Linked DNA regions of Schizosaccharomyces pombe. The protein of the gene in region 2 purifies or fractionates together with the protein of the main gene of each other region. This does not show direct contact. Each region holds a gene or a part of one and is shown on either strand. Other genes may lie near its edges.

Region 1 (4,598 bases), on a different chromosome or scaffold from region 2:
TGGCTTCGGGGGAATCAAAGTCATAGTCGTTGTTAAATGCTCTCTTCTTCTGCTCTGCATTCAAAGATTTGTAAAACGAGTCAAGGGATAAAATAACAACATGTGGAAGATTTAACGCCTTTACAATCAATTGGGCCACCGAGGTTTTCCCACTACCCGATGGTCCTGCAATTCCAATAAATCGCACTTTACGCCATGGGGGTTCATAAGTTGGGTTGCTTGAATAACGCTCAAAAGCTTCAGGCATAATAACGAAAGAAATAAAATAAATAAGAAGCCCAAAAAAAAGGTATGCTAGCCTCCAAGGAAATATTACTAAAGAAAGTTTAAAAAAAAAAAAACTGTAGAGCAAAAAAAGACTAATTGGTGAACCTAACGTTTTTTAAAAGGTAAATTCTGTCTTGGCGTGAAACGAAAATATTCCACAATTTGTAGAGCCAAAGATATTTATTCAAACAGAATTAATTCAAGTAGAATGATAATGGTTTCCTTATCTTACTCTTCTCAAACTTGCTTAGTTTTTTCTATAAATCACAAATCTCGAGTTAGCAATACCATTAGAAAAATATATATATGTATACGAACCCAAAGGAAGGAAAAATGTTAGGAAATTTTAACATAAATAGAAAGATTTTCGAAATGTCTTTTTAAATAACTAGTAAACTAGTTGAAACAATAAATTGGAGAAGGGTAAATCCAATATCATTGTTTTTTCATCCTTTGGTAACATTATCACTGTGACTTTTTCAGTCAGCGCCTGAGCCGCGGTAATCATCGGGAATAAAGAAAGAGCAGTTTGTTTGTAGAACGGAAGTGAGAAGTTTTTTTGCAATACCTATTACTAAATTAATGAATTATATGTAGATTTAAAAGAAATCCGGCAATTAATATTCGAAATTAATCAATTTTGACTATGTGAAAATTGTAACATTCGTGACATGTTGGAAGCTTGTACCAAAATTTGATATTTAATTTAACTTTAAAAATGTATTTAATAAAAATAGGCGACAATAAGGAAATTTAACATATTGGCTCAAATTCAAAAACGCAAGAGAAATCTTGCTTTGTTTATATAAATAACTAAATCAACACGACTAATACTTAATACGCATTTCTTAGAAAAACAGATTCAAATTATTTTTTACCTTCCAAAAATGATGAAATAAAAAGAACAGCTAGGTTGAGATCGTCTCAAAGTTCAATAAATGATTTTGCCGCTCGAAGATTTAGATTGTAGCTTTGCCATTTTTTTTAAACCTAAGAGAACTGACAAAAAGGAATATGAAAGTTTCTTTTGTGCAGAAGAACCAAGTAAATGGACATAAGTTTATGGCAGGTTTTATGATATTGAGAACTCGTCGCTTTTGTTCGTAATAGGCAATTAATTTCAAATTAGAAAATAGTATAAAGGATATTCAGTTTGACCCATCAAGTAGAGTAATCCGCTATTAATGGTGTGAAAAAGTAGAAAAATTTGAAAAAAGCGTACATTTTCGAATAGAAACCCATTTACATGCTTACTTAGCACACGCAAAATCCTTAAATTTCTCTTCCCTATATCGAGAGAAGTGAAAATATAGAATAGTGAATGCATCAAACGCAAAGATTTGAAGCCGGTGCAATGTTAAACATATTTGACGGCTAATCGTCACAAAAAAATGACATTGATGACCTCGAATTGCGCAAATTTTGACTTCATATTTAAAACTCGAAACTCATGAATATTAAGCCTAGATAATTTGTTCGCATAATTTCTTCTCAATCCCACAAATTAATTATCCATGTATCGATAGCAATGGAATCAATTGATTTATTAAATTAAAGTAGATATCTTCCCCTCCTCATTTGATTAGAAAAAAATCCTTGAATTTCACATCACATTTACTCGAAAAGTTTTATCATAAACTTGCTGTAGAATTGAAACTGTAACTGCAATTTAAACCAAATAAAACGCTTTTTAAAATAAACAAAAGAGTACCACATGACTAAATTCCTCATCTTCCTTTTACCAACGTTTGTTGTAATATATTACCCATGCCTTTAGTAATGATAAATTGCACTTATTGAGCTAGAAAATAGTGAATTGAAATAAATCTAATATTTTAACAAACGATATCACGCTATAGCCGTTTTATAATATTTGCCATCTTTTGTTCGTTTCACATTGACACACCTCCATCCTCTCTTTCCTTTCACCTATCTTGGCGAACGAATTCTTAACCTGCTAATTTATTCACTTCAGGAGTAGGAATTGACAAGTGAGAAAAATTAATAATTAAATATTTTTTTTAATATCGTTCTTTTACATTATTGATCCATTGTTTTTGTTAGTCATAATTGGGAATTGACTAGCTTTTTATTGGATTCCTCTTCATGTTCATATTTTACTCAATTAATCATTTCAAAGGTTAATTTACAAGCGTTTTGCTTGTATTCGTTTCTTCTTCATTTTCTTTCTAAACAGTTCCCCAAAGAACCCTCATTTAGACGTTTAGTATGGAACGTCCATCCCTGTCGAGAAGAACGTCCTCTTCTACAGTAAGTACAGATGGTGAAGGGGTTTACTCAAGATCTACTAAGGAGCGTAAGCGGAATTTTATTGTAAACAGTAGGCTTAAGCGTGGTGGAGGTCATGTGCGAGTCAACCGTTCAGGTAGATTGGGCAGTGTAACTATGAGACCTTCTGCTTTAACTCGAGCGCATTCTCAAAATCCAAATAGTAGTTTGGTAAACAATTCGTCCGCCGTGTCCCATCTTACTAAACAACGATCTCTCAACGACTTGCATGAACTCAATGGTCCTAAACACGTAGCCAAAAATGGATTAATACCACTAACACAAAGAAAACCAAATTGTGTTTGGGACGATGCTCCAGTTGACAATGATTCTACTGCTGGTAATTTGGATTCGGACAGTGCGCTTCCTACGCCTTCTGTCACTACGAACGAAGCGGCTGATTCTTCAAGAGCCAGCTCTCCTGTCACCAGAGTTGTTGCTGTTCATGATAACAAAAAGAAAATCATTAATTCGAATATTTCAAATGCTCCTCCCTTTAATAATACAGATGTTCAAGCTTCTGCTCGTCCACCCGCTGCCGGTCAAGACGATTCAGCTGCTGATGCTAGTACCACAAAATCGAGCCCAGTACATAATGAAGTTATGGCAGAACCTTTACCTCATTCGAATAATCGCGAAGTCACTCAGGCTACAAATCAGCCAAAATGGCAAATTCATTCGGGCTCGGGTAAGTCTTTAATCGATGTTTCATCAATTCATATTACTCATATATTAACTTACTTTTAGATATTGCTAGTGAACCCCCTACACTCTCTAGAGGAAATTCTTTATCGTTACTTGCAAATCGAAAAGTTCCTTCCACAAATGTAAAAAAGTCGCAGGCTGAACTTTACGACCTTGGCTCTTCCACAAGTAGAACCCAGCAAAAGCTGTTGATTCAACGTGCATCTTCTAAATTTGACATAGTAGAAGATGATATGGATACAAACCCTTCTAAACGGTTTTCGAACCCTCATACAAAGCATATTATGGACTTAGTCCGTACACAATATCGGAATGTTTTGCGTACGCGTGAGTTGATCCCTGAATTCTTAGAGAAAATAAGGTCCTCCTATAGTAACAATCAGAATTTCGACTCTCAAAATGCCTTCAATACTTCTGCGGCAGGTACCGCTGGAACTAGGGAGGAGACAATTAGTAACGGACAAAACGGCATCGTCGCTTCTGCCGAGACTTCGAAGAAAGATGATGGGGTACAATCAGCTTCTCTTAATGCATCCATGAGTGCACGTAGTCATGCTAGACAGCGCTCAATACATGTGCCAAAAACCAGAAAAGACACTGATTATGAATCGATACATCAGAAATTGCTACAATTATGGTCTCAAGGGTAAAATAATTGTACTATAATTTTAATCTCAATCTCTCGCCCTTAGATTCCTATATTAGTATTTTGTCAAAGAAAAACTGTCCCTCAATTATTGTGTTTAAATATTTACTTTTTTTGTTATTTTGATTTCGAATAGTTTTTTGAAAATAAATTATTTGCGTAGCAGTCATTGCTAAAGTCCTAAATACCTGTATGTCCATCTACCGAAGTCCTTGGAGCAAACTAAATGTGTAATCTGTATACTGTGAAACATCCATAGTTTTTGTTGTACTTTGGAATATGGATTCTTTGCACAGAAGTTCAAAAATTTGTTGCCAACCAAGTAAGTCAGTAAAGGGTTGAGGGATTACCCATGGACAGCTTTTTTTATGTTCTTCCAATACGTCGAAATCTTGTCCTTCACTTTGTAAATTCCAAACACCCAAACGTCTGTGACAGTAGTTACACACATACAAACGACCAGGAACTTGCTCACTCCATCCAGTCAATGCGATGCCAAGCAAAACAGCAGCGTCCTCTTTCTCCCAATCAACACGAATTTTATTTGCAACCTTTTCAAGACGTTTTAAGGTCATCTCTTCAGGAAGATGCGTAGATACCAAGCGAGTGGACAGACTGTTAAACCGTCGTCCGACCTGAACCAGTTCGGCAGATACTGATAAATGATAAATGTCTGGAGGAAATTTATGTA
Region 2 (3,836 bases):
AATCTCCAAAAAATGGACTTAATCCTTTCAAAATAACATACGAAGAACAAAGTTGGTTATAATAGCTGCCAACAAAACAAAGCAGAGAATGGTAGGTCCCAATCGATCATCGTAAGGACCACTTCCGCGTCGTCGAATAGCAGATGCTCTCCAGTGGTAAATACCAAGAGCATAACCCATGGTACCAATAGCAACAATAGTGAAAAGTCCTGCACTAATCTTACCAATTCGATCACCAAAGTTAAGTAAACCAACTGACAAACCACCCAAAACTACTGCAAAGCTCAACCAAGAAAGGAAAGTACGTTCATTAGCGAAAAAAACTTTAGGTTCAACACGAACAGGAAGAGCAATTCTTTTACCAGGAGTAGTTTGTAAAAGAGGTTGAGTAGACATTGTTAGTGGAAAGAGTGAGCTATAAATCGAAGGTTTTTTCTCCTCGCGAGATTAAGTATGTGCTGGCTGTGAGTTGTGGTTAAGGTCAGCTGTGTCGAACGGCCTAGAAATTTTTTTCGTATCTTACTACGGTAAGTCTCGGTAAGTTAATTAGCAGATTTAGCGAGACTAAATTCTTCAAATTTTGCATTATCAAATTCGCTTCTTCGCTAACCAGAAAGCTAATGAAGATATACATTTCATTTCATTTAAGGACACGAGGATATGTAACTTTTCCTACTTAATCCTATCATGTTTAGAGATAAAAGTTGTAAAATAAGTTAAACTACACTAATAAGCATTGAAAATTTTCAAAAGTTATCATCACTTAAGACTATTATTTATCATAAAAACTCCGAGATATGAAACTAGCAAATACTGTATCAAGGGAAGAATATAATTTATAAAAAATTTGTAAGTGACTAAGAAATCGTCTTGAAATCAGACACACTTAATATAAACGAATGTTGACAAGACAAGACTCTTGTTTTCCTAAGAAGATTGGTGAATAAAATCTATATAGCAAAGGTAAAATAGGATAAAGGCGTGTAATAAACTTGAATATATAGAAGTAATTTTCCAACATCAGTTGAGCTAAAAATACAACAAAACATAACTCGTAAACTTATTTTGAAAAATGCTTTGAAACACTTAAATTTGGTAGTCATTAAGAGCAACACAAACAGCAGCTTTGTGATGACCCGAATACTGACGGATTGTTTCACCACTCGATAACTCCCAAAGCCTTGCAACATGATCAGAAGATGCGGTTACTAAGTAGGTAGAATCAGCAGAAAACGCACAATCCCAAACCCATCTTTGATGCCCTTGAAGTCGTCTCTCAAGCATAAATGACATATCCTCCGTACTCCATATATTCACTGTAGCATCGGCAGAACATGTAGCAAGGTGTTTGACATCAGGAGACAAGACGCAGCGAGTGATATAACGCTGATGAGCTTGAAATTTGACAACGGGCTGAAGCAATGAAGCACCCTGATGATTTAGCATTCGCCAAACGTAGCAGTTTCCTTTGTTGTTCCCAGCAATAAGCATACTACCATCAGATCCAACAGTAATGCTGCTCATAGGTACATCTTCTTCCGGAATAAGTTCGTGTGTACAAGAATTCTCTCCTAAATCCCATGCACGAACTCGTCCACTTTGGTCGCATGAAAGCAGTTCACCTTGATTTGGATGAATTAACAAGTCATTAACAGGAGATTTATGATCATAGTTTCGCTGAACTGAAGGGGCTCTCATATCCCACACCTTTACTGTTCCATCCTCGCTCGATGTGGCAAGCCATTTACCATCACAATGAAAAGCGATGGCTGTAACATTATTGGTGTGCCCTTCAAAGGTCATTAATGGCATTTGACTACTAGTGTTTATGTCGTACAATCTTACATGAGGATTTCCGGCGGCTGCTAGAAACTTCTTATCAGGTGAAATACATAAACGATTTACCTGAGAGTCCGCATGTTGTATTGTTCTCGAGCATATTCCACTTAGGGCTTCCCAAAATCTAATGGTATGGTCATATCCACTGCTGACGAGCAGAACAGAATGTTGTGGTGGATACTGTACTGACATGTGGTTAAAGAATGGAGCGCTGTTATACTGTAGTTATTAAACAAACTCGAATACAGAGAGAATTAATGACTGAAAATTTTTAAAATCAATTAAATATGTTTATATTATATATTTAGTAAATTTTTTGTAGCATGACTTGTAAACGCACGATTGGCGATCTATACTTTAAATCTACAGCCATCAAAACTTTAAAAAATTTAACAGTTTTGACCATAAAAACAGGAAAATTCATAGAATAATAGTAAATTCATGTTAATTTAATTTTTTAAAAAATTGCGCCTGCAATAAGTAGCATAAGCATAAGTGTAAAGATAAACTGGTATAACTAAAATATTATACAGGACGAAAGGTTAAGGCAAATTTTTAAGCAACAAAGACATCATTGCTGAGTTGAACGACATTTAAACCTAGATAAATGTCGATTTGTAAATAGTTTATAATAACTATCCTAACTATTAAAACCAACAAGGTTCCGAAAGACGTATAACAGAAACGGACAATAATGGATAAAAAAGATCATAAAAGCAAAATATGGTTTAAAATTCTGAAAGCCAAAATTATTTACGCTTTCGGTGCATGTGTTGCAAGTTGAGAAGTAGTGCTCTATTAAAGTCCCATTCAGAGAGCAAATCTTTGAGCAGTAAACCAACTTGATCATATTCATCCATAGCATATGTCTGCATAGCTGTATTGTCTCCTTCTTGAATATATGAGCTGATAGACTCATGAGTTTCCATCATTACAGAGTGCAACTCGTTAAAAAGACTGCGCAAATTTTCTTTGCACATGATCCTGGGGAAAGGTTTGCTAGTAGTGTTATGTTGATTACGGTTGACCGATTCAACTGAAAACTTTAAGATGTCAACGAGACGAACCATCGACACAGACAATGCATTAGAGAGGTCACCTACCTCCCGGTGAACAATGAGCCATGAAGACCTTTCAGCTAAAAATGAATCAACCGGAAACGATAGTATGCAACATAGAACTTGCTTAGAGATTATAGTTAATTCATAATAAGCAGTTTTGATGTGATTGAGAATTTGGGTGGATTGGTCATCAAAGTCTTGGTTTTCTTTACGGGCTAGGTACATGGAACTCCGTTTTAAGCTTGTTGAGGAACCTTTTCGGAGGTCAAACGAATTTAATTTACCAAAGCAATTTGGAAGTCTATATAGTGATAATAGGTTTCTAAGGTTGGAAGCAGCTGCATACGGATATATTCTTGACAGAACCAGCTGGTATCTAGGTAAAAGCTTCTCATACAAACCAGACAGTTCGTAACTTAAAGTATTTTGTTCCGTAAGATTAAACAATAAAGGATCATTGGCAGGAAGGAAGTCCATTAACCGGGAGCGATTTGCTGCCGAATTTGCTTCCAATTCACAAATTTGGGAGTAAACACGATTAGATGTAGTTTCAAAATCATGCAATAGATTGACAAACTTATTTAAGCTGGATAATCCCATAATACGAATAAAATATGTCCAGCAATGACAAATCCGTATGAGCGAAGAGAAGCAAATATAAGATAAGGCTATTATCTTCACAAACTTTAGATAATGAAGACTTGCCATTGCAGATGATAATTTGTATAAAACAAAATCTATTACAATTTGTAAGCTCAGCAGATAGGCGAAGTATCTCCAAAACTTGCTCGTAGAACTGAACGATGAAGAAGGATAAACCAAAGAAGGCTGTTCTTCATGATGTGACCGCTGTAGCTCGTGATCTCCTACGAGGAGTTCAGATGTATAAATAATGTACTGAATGCTGTCAAAAAAATATTCGTTTTCTCGATCTTG

What was found.
Region 1: the proteins of wat1 (region 2) and tco89 purify together in Schizosaccharomyces pombe (affinity purification with mass spectrometry, with the first as the bait; one study listed by BioGRID). This does not show direct contact.

What each region holds. Positions count from the first base shown.
Region 1 is NC_003421.2:1,552,094-1,556,691, reverse strand, and holds tco89 (TORC1 subunit Tco89), read left to right. Parts: upstream 1-2,194; 5' UTR 2,195-2,496; coding exon 2,497-3,244; exon of another isoform or gene 3,245-3,303; coding exon 3,304-3,911; 3' UTR 3,912-4,098; downstream 4,099-4,598. Other genes in the region: urk1 (uridine kinase/uracil phosphoribosyltransferase), read right to left, coding at 1-247; zinc finger C3HC-type containing RNA export factor Rsm1, read right to left, coding at 4,108-4,598. UniProt on the Schizosaccharomyces pombe protein: Component of TORC1, which regulates multiple cellular processes to control cell growth in response to environmental signals. Tor2 is essential for growth. Nutrient limitation and environmental stress signals cause inactivation of TORC1.
Region 2 is NC_003423.3:1,661,142-1,664,977, reverse strand, and holds wat1 (TORC1/2 complex WD repeat protein Wat1/Lst8), read right to left. Parts: upstream 2,038-3,836; 5' UTR 2,032-2,037; coding exon 1,087-2,031; 3' UTR 618-1,086; downstream 1-617. Other genes in the region: vacuolar transporter chaperone (VTC) complex, GTPase regulator subunit Nrf1, read right to left, coding at 28-396; myosin-binding vezatin family protein Inp2, read right to left, coding at 2,589-3,836. UniProt on the Schizosaccharomyces pombe protein: component of both TORC1 and TORC2, which regulate multiple cellular processes to control cell growth in response to environmental signals. Nutrient limitation and environmental stress signals cause inactivation of TORC1.